4 linked regions of the Oryzias latipes genome follow. The protein of the gene in region 4 interacts with the protein of the main gene of each other region in a pairwise test. Links are inferred from orthologs where the notes say so. Each region holds a gene or a part of one and is shown on either strand. Other genes may lie near its edges.

Evidence for each region.
Region 1: the proteins of usp25 (region 4) and rad23b interact in binary tests that used the Homo sapiens proteins (3 or more experiments, as listed by UniProt). The link is inferred for Oryzias latipes from reciprocal best matches to the Homo sapiens genes USP25 and RAD23B.
Region 2: the proteins of usp25 (region 4) and syk interact in binary tests that used the Homo sapiens proteins (3 or more experiments, as listed by UniProt). The link is inferred for Oryzias latipes from reciprocal best matches to the Homo sapiens genes USP25 and SYK.
Region 3: the proteins of usp25 (region 4) and rad23a interact in binary tests that used the Homo sapiens proteins (3 or more experiments, as listed by UniProt). The link is inferred for Oryzias latipes from reciprocal best matches to the Homo sapiens genes USP25 and RAD23A.

Annotation. Positions count from the first base shown.
Region 1 is NC_019870.2:9,289,479-9,293,519, forward strand, and holds the start of rad23b (UV excision repair protein RAD23 homolog B), read left to right. Parts: upstream 1-1,181; 5' UTR 1,182-1,326; coding exon 1,327-1,392; intron 1,393-1,883; coding exon 1,884-1,965; intron 1,966-3,557; coding exon 3,558-3,637; intron 3,638-4,041. UniProt on the Homo sapiens protein: Multiubiquitin chain receptor involved in modulation of proteasomal degradation. Binds to polyubiquitin chains.
Region 2 is NC_019870.2:27,546,078-27,549,644, reverse strand, and holds part of syk (tyrosine-protein kinase SYK), read left to right. Parts: intron 1-1,279; 5' UTR 1,280-1,335; coding exon 1,336-1,737; intron 1,738-3,567. UniProt on the Homo sapiens protein: Non-receptor tyrosine kinase which mediates signal transduction downstream of a variety of transmembrane receptors including classical immunoreceptors like the B-cell receptor (BCR).
Region 3 is NC_019866.2:22,938,805-22,942,371, reverse strand, and holds part of rad23a (UV excision repair protein RAD23 homolog A), read left to right. Parts: intron 1-858; coding exon 859-902; intron 903-1,337; coding exon 1,338-1,465; intron 1,466-3,439; coding exon 3,440-3,527; intron 3,528-3,567. UniProt on the Homo sapiens protein: Multiubiquitin chain receptor involved in modulation of proteasomal degradation. Binds to 'Lys-48'-linked polyubiquitin chains in a length-dependent manner and with a lower affinity to 'Lys-63'-linked polyubiquitin chains.
Region 4 is NC_019872.2:2,562,679-2,566,245, reverse strand, and holds part of usp25 (ubiquitin carboxyl-terminal hydrolase 25), read left to right. Parts: intron 1-564; coding exon 565-702; intron 703-1,095; coding exon 1,096-1,169; intron 1,170-1,244; coding exon 1,245-1,318; intron 1,319-2,151; coding exon 2,152-2,303; intron 2,304-3,109; coding exon 3,110-3,237; intron 3,238-3,332; coding exon 3,333-3,428; intron 3,429-3,567. UniProt on the Homo sapiens protein: Deubiquitinating enzyme that hydrolyzes ubiquitin moieties conjugated to substrates and thus, functions in various biological processes including inflammation and immune response.

The sequences.
Region 1 (4,041 bases), on a different chromosome or scaffold from region 4:
ACGCTCCTCGACAAGAGCTGCAGATCCTGTGGGTGGTGGTAGTGGGTGGGTGGGGGGATCCAGGCCTCCATCACACTCCTGTGTCTTAGCCTCCCATGGAGGCTCACGAATAACGTAGACAACACCTGTAACCCTTGTGCTATCCTAGGCACTTTACTATTGGGAGTTGGGTCATCTAGACCCACTAGACAGTGCTCTGAACCTTTTTTCTTCAGTGATTTGTGATCTTCACTGGTGTCCATGGATTACATGAAATCTTTCCACCTTTATCCACCTTTGTCATGGTAGGGAGAACACGTCAATGTAAGGGTGGGGTCATCTAAGATAGCACAAGGGTTAAATCTCACAGTGTGATGATAAGCACCATAACTTTATGATCCACCAAATGTTTCCTAAACATTTGTTTACAACACTGTGGGTTGCGTTTAGGGGCGTATAGATTAATCGGCTTAAGCCATGAATCAATTTTTATTCCCACGACCTACCAGATCAATCGGTTTGAGCCAAGTTGTTATTCAAATTATAGAATCATTTTAAAAATAACTAAATTGATTATTTCGATATTTGCAAATACCATTTGGATTGAGGCACGGTAGGTTTCCAAGAGGAAACCTGTGTATGCACAGGGAGAACATACAAAATCCACACAGCAAGGTTCCAGCAGGGATTTGAACCTCTCCCAGTGGGGCAAGAGTGCTAACCACTATACAATTGTGCAGCCTACACCATTTAATACGTGAATTTAAAAAATAATTTAGTGTCAAAGTGCTAATTATTTGCTCCAATATTTGTGCTGTATATATTTTTTTTATTGTTATTGTTATGCTATTTTACTTTTTAAATCCTATTTAATTTAATTTTGTTTAAACAGCTGTGTGTTTAATGTTTAAATGACATGAAATCTGTGGTATTACTTTTCAGTATTACTTACTTATTCAGAGTGTTAGGAAAAAATAACATTCTGTTTTGATTAATTTTTATGTGAAAATGTGTATATATATTGAAAAAAACATATAGAATATAATGAAGAAAAATATATATAGAATATCCTCCACAATCAAATCAATTTAACCGTGGTGGGACCAACTGATTTGGATTTATTGTCCAGCAGATTATTTGATTAAGTTCAACGTGTAGCCACCAGGGGCGCTAGTGTGTTTTTTCATGAGGGGGGGGGGTTACCCGGTTTTACCGCCACAGAAGAAGAGAACCGAAAAATCATGGCGGCTGACAGTTTGTAATGAGCCAACGGAAAAAAGCGATTTCTTTCAAGTTAGATTTACAGATTTTTTTAAAATTGGAGCCAGAAGTAAACCGACCTACAACATGCTGATAACTTTAAAGACTTTGCAACAGCAGACCTTCAAAATCGACATCGATGAGGAAGAAACGGTGAGAAATATGCGCGAGCGGGAGTTGTTTATGTGGAGCAACTAAAACAGCAGTAAATGTTTTTTTGTTTGTTTTTGTTAAAAACATATTGACTAGAGTCATTACGCTAGCAAAATAATACTCTTTTGATTTAAAATAACATACAAAAACTCAGGCAAAATGTTGTTGTCTGTGCTTAAATGTAATGACGATAGTAAAGTTGTTTCTATTTACACGCCAGCCTTCGCACTGTTCCTAAACATTTATGACAGAGATCTTTTACTCCGAACTTTTACTTTCGATAAACTTTAAGGACATGCGCGTTATTCCTCTAAATCTGTTGCTAACAGCTAAGATTCAATGGTTGATGTCTGTAGCTAGATTTTAGAGGAGGTTTCCTTCTTAACAACAGAAACTTGGACCTTATGGCTCCAGAAGTGCTGAGTCATCTCACTGTGTGTATTGTTGTTTACTGCTAGTCATTGTTGTCAGTGTTGTTGTTTCTTCTGCAGGTGAAGACGTTAAAGGAGAGGATTGAGCAGGAAAAGGGGAAGGAGAGCTTTTCAGTGGCCGGGCAGAAGCTGATCTACGCCGGTATGATGGGTCCCTCCCTGCCTCTTTCTTCCTCTGAGTACTCACGTGATGTTTAGACCGGTTCTGATCAGTTTGCATCCATAGTCCTGGCAGGTTAAGATCCGGAAAGATCTGTACTCTTTGATTTGCCTAAAAGTTTTTTTTGTATATTTCTCTGCATATTTGACACAAAATTGCTTCAGATCTTAAACTGTCGGGTCTATAAAGTCCAGAAATCTAGAATTTTCAGCCTAAAATATTTAAAAATGCATTTAATTTGATGTCATTTGTCTTAAATTATGTATTTCTTTGCTGTGTTGTTTAATAGTGACCACAAGAATGATGATACGCTGCAAACACACTTTTGTTGACACACAAGTACTTTTTGGTACATAAAGTTTCACCAAAACCCATAAAATAGTTATTTTAGGTTCTGTTCCTCAATATTTTAAATGTGTCTTAAAGCGAACTGTGCTTTTATTTTGACATGCATGTTACAGCCTCAAAGACGCTGAAAAGAAACTTTAAAAAGACTACAAATTGATTGCTGACGTTATGTAAAATGATTGATTTAAGGCGATGACGATGTCTGCTGCTTCTGTTTGTATTCTAGAAGAATAGTTTTTTTGTCAATGTGGGCAAAAAAGTGTTAAAATTCTGACTGTCGTTACAAACATAGTTTAGTTTTGACTTCAGAATAAAATAAAATCGCTAGATACCTGCACTTTATGTTTTACATCAGGGTGAAGGGATCCAACTGGATCCTATGTTAGGCTAACCCGGGTCCGGCAAATTCTATGTTCAAATCAGCTTCACCCAGGAAGCATTGAATCAAATCGAACATTATTTAGAAAGTGCTTTTCCTACAAGTGCTTTACATTAAAGAAAAACCAAATAAATAATATAAAAACAAGCACGAAAATTAAAATAGAACCCCCTCCCCAGACCTACACACAGCCCCCTCCCCCCCTAACTGATGGGGATCGACAATGGGAAACAGGCTTGCGCGTCTGTGCACATTTGGACTCCAAGTTGAGTACAGAAATCATTGTGTCACCTTTAGAGCTCACATGAGCACAAAAAAAGCACCAAAACGTAAAGCTTCCACACCAATCCTTTCCAAAAAATACAGTTTTCCCATGATTCATTGGTGAGAAGACAGATGGAGGTTAGCGAACCACTTCTGTAGCTTCTTATGCTTTTAAAAGAACTTTCTTGATTCGATTGATGCATTTGTGGCTCAGTAGTTGCTTGTTTTTCAGCCTCATTTGATCCAAATCATCAACAGAACGGGACTGGGCTTCAATTTACTGCTTTATGCCGGATTATTATGGGTTTTTTTAAGTCAATGATTGACAGATGTGTTTATGCTTTTCTGCTTTAATGGGTAGAGCGCTGCAGTTGAAGTGAATATCATGAAAAATAGGAGTCAACAAAAGATTTTGGTTGAGAATAAAGATAAATGCTTAGAAATTAACTTTTAAAAACAGATTTTGTGTAAATGACCATCATTTGTGTGACCGGCACAGATCCTCGTTTTCTAGTTTTCAGAGCGAGTAAAACCCAGACGGATGTCGTCCATCCCTCAGAAATCCTTTTCTGCTTCTTTCCAGGAAAAATCCTCAGCGACGACACGGCCCTCAAAGAATACAAAATCGATGAGAAGAACTTTGTGGTCGTCATGGTGACAAAGGTCGGTGAATTACAAACCGCTGGTGAATTGCAAGCTTGCTTGGAACCTTTATATCCCTCCGTTTTGTTCCTTTATTCGTAAGCGAATCCCTTTGGTGACTTTCTCCTCTTTTTTTTCACACCGTGTCTGAGTGTCAACCGCCTCTGCTGGTGTGCGGGGCTGCACACCTGTCTGATGCTGAGCTCCTAAAACCTCCACAAAAGCAACTTTCTTTAATTCACCCCCTAAAATATCAAAGATTGGAATAATTTCACTAAAAGCAGAGGTGGTCTTATGTCATCACACTTGTTTAGAAGTTCCTCTATGCTTTTATTTTGGCGGGTGGAATTGAAGGGGAGGAATACAATTTGGAGATTCAAACTTTTGTTTTTTAAGATCATTTTTTTGTTTTAGCTGCTGTGCTT
Region 2 (3,567 bases), on a different chromosome or scaffold from region 4:
GCGTTGTTGTAGACTTAAGCTGGTGGTGTGTGTGTGAAGATCGATTTTTCCCATATTGTGGAAAATCTGAAATATCACCACAATGGTCACCAAGCCTTAGAACCATTGACTGTATATGGAGGACTGGACTGAGCGAGTGAGACTTCACCCATTGAAAAATGCCTAACCCCCGGTTCCAACCAAATCAATTCAATTCGAGTCAATTCAGTCGCCATTTTTTCACGATATGTCTGCCGCCATGTTGTCTGTGACATGAACCAGACGTCGTCAGTAAGCTCCATTTCCAAGTGCTCCATGTCGATCTTAGTCTATATTTCCATGGCAACCACTCTCTCCAGTCAGTAGTGAGCATGTTAGAAGGCCTCACCCTTTCCACTGAAAGCAGGATCAGGAGGATCCGGAAATCAAACGCTTTGAACATTCAATGTGAGGCCACCTTCTTTTAATGAGGCATCTGATTGGTCAGTTTGTTACTTGAATGACTTTTACTGCAGCAAAAATATCATTAAAAAAATTAGGATTATCCAGAATATGTTAAAAAGATGTGTCAGAGTGAGAATGGTTATTCTGACCAATAGAATGACTGATTACAGCTGTTTCTTTTTCTATTGAAGTCTATTAGATTTCAGCTTTTTTGGAACCAGCGGGTACTTCCTGTTTGGAACACGGGGTGGAGGGGTCACTTAGTCCAGTTCTCATATACAGTCAACGGCCGTAGGTCCCACGGCCATCTCATGATAATTACAAAACTCCCTTTGTTTTGGTTTTCAATATAGGATTTAGAAATATTTTTTGGAGACCTATAAAAGATTTTGGCTAATTCATCTTTTGTTGTTTCCTTCTGCTGTGATTTATTCATTGGGGGGGGTTACAATGCCTAAAATTCATTGTCTATGTTTTCTAGATTTATGAAAATGTTGATGAGTTTTTGAGTAAGTATGAAAGCTGCAGTAAGAAAGAAGAATTAATAAAAGCAATCTGGTCTTTGTGGTCCAGGTCTGCTGCGGGACAGAATTAACAAAAAGAACTAAACACACTTTCTTCAAGTGTCTTTGTTGGAACGATTCATATAAACTGCTGTTTATAAAAACTACAGCAGCTTACTGACATCAACCTGACAAAAGTAAAGACAATTGTTTTGCTTCTAAAAGCAGGCGATACCAGCATCACCTGCTTGAGTGTCCCTGTTTCTGGAGTAAAGAACAACTTTTATCTGTTTTTTAGCTTCTCCTTTCAGATTTTGCAGTTGTAACTCAAGGTGACCTTCTTGTTTTCTCAGGGACACTTCATCCTGGTGGCCTAGTTTTGTGAGGAGACAAGTGTCCAACGGCCAAGATGGCTGACGCTGTCAACGCACTGCCGTTCTTCTACGGCAACATCGCCAGGGAGGAGGCGGAGGACTACCTTCGGCAGGCAGGCATGAGCAACGGGCTGTACCTGTTACGGCAAAGCCGGAATTACCTGGGAGGCTTTGCCCTTTCTGTCGCCAATGCTAAGCACTGCTACCACTACACCATCGAGAAAAAGCCCAACGAGACGTACGCCATCGCTGGAGGCAAGAGCTACAGGAGCCCCGTGGACGTGATTGACCACCACTCCCAGGAGACAGACGGCCTGGTGTGTCTCCTGAAGAAGCCCTGCAACCGACCCAAGAACATGCAGCCCAAAGTTGGACCCTTTGAGGACCTGAAGGAGAAGCTGATCCGAGAGTACGTGAAGCAGACCTGGAACCTAAGGGTGAGTTTGCCTGGCAGGGATCCTTTGTTCAGAAATCTGTTGTTTTTCTGTTTCTGAAGCATCTTTTCAGAAAGGTGGTGAGAGATTGTAAACAAGTAATCAATAAACTATGATGGCCTGAGGATCCAGGTGTTCAGGCGGGCTGGTGGATCTCTAAGCCCGCTTGGCTCCCATACTGTTTCTGTTGTTCCTGATCTGATCCCCATTTGTCTGAGTCTCAGGCTGCACTGGTGGCTCCTCCCTCTGTCCTCTGGGACACACTGTCAGGTTATAACGGATCACTATTTTGCACGCCTTTGTGGTCTCTGACATGTAAACTCCTGGAAGGAGACTGGAGTAGTCACAGATGTCTCCATGGCTGGCCAAAGCGTATTGTCCACCTTCCACTCTGATTCCACGCTTCATCACACCTAGACTAATCTGCTGAAGACAGACCAGTATGGAGTCCTGCAAACACGTTTGGCTCATTTGACTCCTCACTGCTCGAGCGTTTCACCAACCTGTGAGGGCACGATCCAACCCCAACCATCGATGAATCATCAAATGTGAAAGGCAGAGACTACAGTGAACGTATGTGAACTTTAAAGTCTCCTGATCGGCGGTTGGCTGCAGCAGAGGTCCCCTCTTTGAAGACGTTTATGTCAAAACATGAACTCAGAACCGCTCTGTCAGAAGCCTTCCTGAATCTGTCTGTTCTGGGAATCAGTTCCTTCACGAGAAAGAAGCTGAACTTTGCTGAGATCCGCTGACCCAGCCCACATCTCAAAACACAGCTTTTGTTGGAGGTTTTTAATTGCCCAATAGCCCAGACCGAAAGTAAAAGAACAGGAACCCGGAGATAACAGAAATAGAACATTTCTACTGTATTCTGACGCAAAGGTTTAAAAAAACAGCCAGTCAGAAAGAGCGACTGAGCGCGCTCAGATTCCAGATTCCAGATCCTGAACTGCATCTTCATCTGCCGTCCTTGCAACCCAATGATGGTGGGGGGGGGGCAGTTTGATTTTGAAGAGCGATAAGTTCAGTTTGGACGTTTGTTTGTTTCTCTCATCCTTTGTTCTGAACGGATGAGGAAGACTCAGAGGCGGTCTCTGTGAGGTGTGAATTTCTGGTTCCGGTCCTTTAAATGATGACGTTACCACAACGCAGCATCCTACCTGAGCAGGTGTGAACATCGCTGGCATGGCTGGGGGGTTATCTCTGCAGCCAATAGCTTCTAGCAGATTTCACAGTTTTCTGTCTTCAGAAGAGACCTCTAGGTTGAAAACCACTAAAACTGGTTTTAATTTAAGCCGTTTTTCTGTGTTTATATGTTTTCAGGCTGTGTGCAACACAATGAAGTCCATATGTCTCTCCGTCTGGGTAACAGCCTGTGACTTTTGCATAAAAGTCCTCCTTACCCTCTATCAGAAATTTCAGAAGTCTCTCAGTCTGAATACAGATGTGTCAGTTCAACGTTGATTTTTTATTTTTTTGATTGAAAGTCCAACTTTGAGACATTTCTTAATGACATTTTATCCAGCATTTTTGTCAGCCAGAGCGAAGCAGAATACTGACTCCAGACCAGCGTGAGCCCACAAACACCCTCTATAATATAATTGAGGCCAAGTTACTGCTTACCTCACCTTCTGTGTTTTTTCAGTGCAGCTTTATGTCGGATCCATTAAAGAAACAACAGACAAACATGAAAGAATAACTGTTAAATGGAAAGCGATGACACGTAAAAAGATGCATAGAAACTATTTAATAAAGTGTTAAATTTATTAGCATATGCTGAATAAGCCAAAGGCAACCCAGTCTGCATGGGATTGCACAAGCCTGCGTGAGCTG
Region 3 (3,567 bases), on a different chromosome or scaffold from region 4:
TGGCATAAACTTTAAAAACAAAGATTCCTTATTTATCTTGGGAATTACATTCTAAAAATAACCCTTGATAGGAAATCTGCAAAGTAATGAAGCTTTATATGTACAATAATTCTGGTATTTAAGGCTGTAAAGCTTCTCACTACACACCTGTCTACGTTTCTCAGACAAACATGAACATTTTCACACTTTTGTCTCTTGTTTAAAGTCTCAAAGTTCAAACCTTCACAGAATCTAAGGCCAGTATTGTAGAATGAAAATAGATCTGTTTATAGTAGAAAACACTGATGGTCATGTTTCTGAAATCAGGTGGTTGATTTTTTTCGGCTTTTCTGCTTTCTTCTTTTTTTAAAATTTATTTAAAATGTGTTTTTGTGGAGGGGTTGCACAGTGGTGTAGTGGCCAGCGCTCCTCCCTCGTAGCGAGAAGGTTCTGGTTCCAATCCCAGCCGGGTTTTGTCTGCGTGGAGTTTGCATGTTCTGTCTGCATGTGTGGAACTCCAAAAAACATTCCAAAAACACGCTTCATGGTTAATTGGTGAATCTCAATTGTCTCTAGGCGTGAATGTGAACTGGCGACCTGTTCAGGGTGTAGCCCACCTTCACCCAATAGTAGTTGGGATAGGCTCCAGCAACCATGTGACTCTAAAACTGATTCTGCCGGTTTAGGGGATGGATTGATGTTGTTTTTTGTCGATTTTGTTGAATAATTTAGGCGTTTGTGCTGTTTAAATGTTGGATTGATAAAGCTCTTCGAGGGTCTGAAGTCTTTCACATTAAGGCGGATTTGTTTTACTGTATATAAAGCTAAAATAACGTGATAGGATTTCAAATCAATCAGGATTTTCCTTGTCTTTTGTAGCTCCAGCGGCGGGAATCAGGGCCTGGACGCCTCTTCAGCGTTGGGTATGTGACGCTGAACCCTCACCTGATGACTCTATGCTCCGCCTGCAGTTGCTGCTCTCATCAACACAACACAAACCCTTCCTGTAATTAGAGGGCGACAAAAGCGAGCTGGCTCTTGTTGCGGGGTCACACAGAGGGATGGGGAGTCCCATGTGATGCAGTTATGAGCACATCTGCTGCACGCAGAGGCGACAGGAAGTCACGTCATTTGTCAGTCAAGTGCCAGAGAGCCTCTGTCTTCTGCGTTCAGCCTTTTGGTCTTGAAGTCAAGTTGAGACCGTTCCCATTTAAAACAGGGGAGCCTGACACAATAATCATGAAATGTTTGGACTATTCAAATCCCGAAACTCTTTATTTGACCCGTAAAACTTGACTGATTGTAGCTCAGGCTTGACCCCCTTTGCACAGAGGTTTGATTCCCGGTTTGTGTTTCAGTGACTGGAGCGGAGTACGAGGCCATGCTGACGGAGATCATGTCTATGGGATACGAGAGGGAGCGAGTGGTGGCGGCGCTGCGGGCCAGCTTCAACAACCCGCACAGAGCCGTGGAGTACCTCCTCACTGTACGTATGCTGAGGCCCCGCCCACCTGCCGGATGGGACGCTGCCTCTGAGCTCCCAGCCAGGGTGTGATGCTCTCACTACCGTAACCCTTCGACTGCGTACGCAATTCTTCTTTTCATTAACCTGTTTTTTAGTAGGGAATCAACACGAATCGGCTGATTCTGACACGGACAAAAGCGGCTTTTCATGTTGGCTTTGCACCGATAGACCACACATTTCTAACTTTAAAAGTGTTGCATGACGGCGCAAAGCTGTTTCCGCCACGGCAGAATCGGCTGTTGGTTGTGTAAACACTTGAGTCCTGTAAAGTGTTGCCCATCAGTGTGAAGCTCATTTTCTCCACTTCAGAATCCGTTGCGTGAACAGTCGTAGGGTTACGGTAGTGGAAAGAATGTAAACACTGGCGCTAAAGCTCTGGTGTCGCTGGACATTCACACAACAGACATCCGACCAACAGGAGGTGAGGTTGTGTGAGACGTTCACACCAAACGCGTATCTGACGCGTCAGATCTGCTGCTTAATGTTTATCCAAAGAACGCGTTCATAAATGGACGTCTGAGACGAGCTGCCGGTTCAGATTTTGGAAGCATTGACTCCATATCCCGTTTACAGTGCATGGAAGACACGGATGATGTTTAGAGATCAGGTTTACGTGTTTTAAAAGACTTCTACAGAAACATTGGTGATCCCGCCTCCACGTCTGGGTTCATGACATCATTCAGAGACTCTCCCGGTACGCTGAGCTTCACCGTCTGCTGCAGGAGCTGCGTCTGATTGACAGCTGCTCCCGACTCTCCCTGACCCAGTTTGACGACTCGCTGTCCCGCATGAGTCCTGGGAGGGAAAAAATACAAATGAGAATCAAATTAGAGGAACTTTCCATTATTGTATCGACGGAAAAAGCAAAACAAAATAATGGTCCTAATCTTTTCAGTGATTCCCGATTGCATCACTGAACCCGCCACGCCTGATTGGTTGACATGCGGTTGAAGTTTAATTCGACTCGCTGCGATGCCCAAAACATGCTGCTGCAGAACCAACGTTCAGACCCCAGATGGCGTCTGGACATTGATGCGTGAATCGCATTTGGTGTGAACGCGGCTTTAGCGACACGCACCCGTACAGGTGCTGCGGGGTTTTAGGTCGTCTGGGACGTGGAAAGTCGTAGCGAGGAGCCTACCGCCACTCTTGAACTGTTTATGCAGAAAAGCCAAAGCTTTGCAACGTTTTCTCTGTCAGAATTACTAAAAAGTAACGTAAACAATCCAAGAGCGTGTGTTTTTTGTTGTTTTTTGTCGCTAGTGACAACGTAGGTGTTAAAGGTTAAGGAAACGCAGGTGTCTTGGAAATGTCATGAAATGGAAGGTACCATTGGCGTGCGTGTGGTAAGTTTGTCGTTGGGATGATGTAAGTTGCACGTGATGCTGTTGTATGGCCCCCTAGTCATCAGTAAGGCGTCACTGACGACATGCTATGTTTGATACGCAGGTGCCTGTAGGATGTCCTCTGTCTAATTTCTAAGTCAGGCTGCATGTGAGGAGCGCGCACGTGTCACGTGAACAGCACCACCGGCTCCTTTCTGCTGGAATGAGGAGGGTTGAAGACATGAAAGTCCTGACGACACGCCTGTGTCTCACCTGCTTCATCCTCACGTGTTGTAGAAGCGTTCACTGCGACCTGTCGTCCGTAGAAAAAACTGCGCACGAGCATTTTCGCCTTACAGTCTACGGTGTTAAAATGGTCCCCCAGGTGTGCCCACGTTCCCCCCACAGACAGCCGTGTCCACCTGCGAGTGCGGTGGAGACCACAGCTAAAGCCTCTGGGTGTAAATCTGGAAATGAAGGCGTGTAACCGCATCCGCTGTGTGGCACCAGCCGTCTGATTAGGTCGAACTTGTGACTCTAGATGCCTCAGAATGAAACATCGCTGTCCAGCTCAGGAAGTGGTCGCTCACAGGCGCTCTTGTGTTTCCAGGGTATTCCCAGCAGCCCCGTGCAAGAAAGCAACCCCCCAGTGCAGCCCCCCACCTCTGGATCCACAGACGCCCCCTCTCTAGCAGAAGGTATGAGACCACAATGCATTGCCTTTGAATGATTTGTCAT
Region 4 (3,567 bases):
TCAAACCTGCTGGGTGGCGGTGTTGTCAAAGTGTGGCCCCGCCCTCACCTTGTGTCGCTCATTAAACTGTGGACGGCTTTAATGGCCCTTACTCTGCAGCTGAGCTCTTTATGCTTCCTGCAGCAGTGAAAGTCCTCTTGTCACAAGCACAGCCTCATTTGTGTCACTCATCTGTTAGAAAAAACCCGCTGTACACTGATCTGCAGCAGCCTTCTGGGCTGACCTGAGCTGACCTCCGGTCAGGTCTGCAGAATGAAGATGATGGCGAAACAACAGCCATGCTCTCTGGTGTCTTAATGTCGGTGTGCGGCATTTAACAGTAGAGTTGGAGACTGACAACATTCAAACATCCTCATGTTTAGGATAAATGACTGGAAGCAGACGCCCAAAGCCTTGTCAGGAATTGGTGTCTTTCCTGTATTTTGTGTGTTTTTGCACTGACTGTCGCTATAAAGGAATCACTGCGCTACACCTGCAGAAGCCTGCCAGTCACAGCAAATGACCATAAAGCTTTCTCACTGCCCTGATTCCAACTTTGATTTCTGTTTTTTTTGCTCTGAGCAGGAGCACAGATACCTGCTCTTCATGCAGGAGTTGAGGAACCTCTTCTCCCTCATGGTGGGCTCCAAGAGGAAATATGTAGACCCTTCACGGGCGGTGGAAATCCTCAAAGATGCCTTCAAATCCAGTGAGTCACAACAGGTAAGCTTCTCCCGATGTCCTTTGCTGCACGGGATCACAGACTTCCTGAAAGTGTCTTTAGGGGGGGGGGGCAATGGTTCCACGTAACCAGGGGGTGACACCTGCAGGCCTGCATGTTTATGGATATGGCCCTGTTCACGGCTGATCACGTGTGGCCAACCTTTTACAGCAGGACTGCGGCCCTCCAGGCCAACCTCTGCACAGCTGGAATACAGGAGCGTTCCTGCTGCTTCTCCTGGTGTGGCTCCTTCACTGTTGAGCCCCAGTTCCCCCAGCGGTCCTCCCCGTATCACACTGACAGTCCCACTTTGTGAAGGGACTCAATGATCCATAGAAGGCTTCTGTGTGAAGTGAAGCGTGACAGACAGATGTGTGATGATGTTTGTTCCACAGCAGGATGTCAGTGAGTTCACCCACAAACTGCTGGACTGGCTGGAGGACGCCTTCCAGATGAAGGCAGAAGACAGGTAAGCTGCTTCTAGTGGACCTGATCCAGATGACCTGAAGGGTGTTTGCAACAGTTTCTCATCCCTTGTTCTCAGGGAGGGGGAGAGACCGAAGAACCCCATGGTGGAGCTTTTCTACGGCCGCTTCCTCGCTGTGGGGGTTCTGGAAGGTGAGCGGGAGCCCATGATTTCTGCCATTACAGAGTAGCATGATGGAGGAGTAAGAAGGCTGAAGCTCAGCCTGATGCCAGGATGCAGAGAGTGGGGGAGTCTCCCCCCTCAGTCATGGAAGGTGACCTCATCCTAATGACTGTAAAACACCAGAGCTTACGCTGACTGGAGGAGACCTTGGCGGCTGATTAAAATTCTGTTTATTATGCATGACGACGCTGGCTCAGAGCCTCCTGAAGGTGGTCCTGAACTCCTCATCTGTGTCTGCTGGCCCCCACCGCTTTAGGGCGGGGCTCAGCAGCTCAGTGGAAGAGGCGGAGAGGGCTCAGGTTTAAATCCATAGTCAAAGGATCCAATGCCTCTGTGCTCTTCAGCATTTAGATTTTGGATTGGGGGGTTAAATGGCTGCAGCATGTGGAGAAGGAGTTTCTCCCACCCTGGTGTGTGACCACCGATGGGGCTTTAAGGTAACTGTAAGTTAGGTTTCCATGAGGCAGAAGGTAACGATGGAGATCACACCTTCCTGGTGTGGATGAAGTCTGTTTATGCATTGAAGGAAACCCAAAAGTCTACGTTCTTTGAAGTGCTGTAAGCCCCTTTGACACACATGTTCAACACTGACTGTCACTGAGGGGGGGGTCCAAACCTGTGATCTCTGTGACCACCCCATCAAGTAACTGGCTTCAAGCTAAATGAGCAGGAGTCAAACAGAAAAGGTGCAGAAAAAGCTGCTGAAATGAGCTGTAAGATGCTGGGGGGGTCGGATGCTGGGTCACACACAGACTTTGCCTGATCTCACCTTTGGTTTGTCCGCTGTTCCCTTTGACTACAGGTAAAAAGTTTGAGAACACAGAGATGTTTGGGCAGTACCCCCTGCAGGTGAACGGCTTCAAGGACCTCCACGAATGTCTGGAGGCGGCGATGATCGAGGGGGAGATCGAGTCCCTGCACTCTGCAGAAAACTCTGCCAAATCGGGTCAAGAGGTCAGTGATGCAGACTGAGCACGGCAGCCGGATCCTCTGCTGAGGAACCGAAAAAGGAAGAGGGTGCCCCCCGTGACCAGGGCGTGATCACATGTCAGGCTGGGGTCACTCATTAACCATGACAAACCACCATTCACTTGGCTTTCAGACGTCCACTCAACCTATTTTATAGGGTTGGAATAAAACAGTTTTATGGAGCTGAATATAGAAACTGAATAAAGATGAATCTTTCATTAATTTATCATTTCTTTTAATACAATGATAAAAAATAGGCTAATAAAAGAAAAAACAAGAACAATATATGTATTTCCATTCATAAAATCTATGAATTGATACTAATATGTTCAGTACGGACTATGTAAAAACTCATCTTTTATGGCATTTGTTCACAAGCAGCACAAACCCACTTCAGAGGAAAAAATCAGTCCAACGCACCTGACAGCAAAAATAACCCAACATCCATGAAACAAAAATTAAACATGTTCATAAATCAGATTTTAATCAAAGTACAGTACATGCAGACGGAGCAAAGCGGTTGTCAGCATCTGAAGGACAAAACCTGTTTCACAGCCTGGAAGTATTGACAGAGAAGTTGTCTTCTCTGAGCTTCGTCTTGGTCCTACAGATGAAGCTTGGATGTGTGCTGCTCCTCCTCCTTCTCCTCCTCCTCCTCCTCCTCCTCCGTGCCTCATTCAAATGCCTTAACACTTGTGCACGTCACCCAGGCTCCCGTCTGCATTGAAATGCTTCAAAAACCAAAGAGTGACGTCCAACGTTTGAAACGGTCTCAACTCAATGTTTTTCAGCACTGGTTCACGGAGCTCCCCCCCGTGTTGACCTTTGAACTGTCGAGGTTCGAGTTCAACCAGGCTTTGGGACGACCTGAGAAGATCCACAACAAGCTGGAGTTCCCCTCCATGCTCTACATGGACAGGTGATGCCAACACGGATGATGGTGATCATGTGTCTTTGAAGAGCCCCCCCCCCCCCCCCCCCCCCCCCCTAATCCTCTGCTGGGGCTGTGCACAGATACATGGATAGAAACAGGGAGATCACCAGGATCAAGAGGGAGGAGATCCGGCGACTGAAAGAGCACCTGACTCTGCTCCAACAGCGACTGGAGAGGTACACTGCCGTCCTTTATGTCCGTCTGTGGCTTTGTGCTGTGAGGAGTGAGGATGCAGACGCTGCAGCGTCTGCACACGGCACCGTCGAAACAGAAAAAACACCCGTCACACGACATGCTCATGAGCTCAGGTCTAAG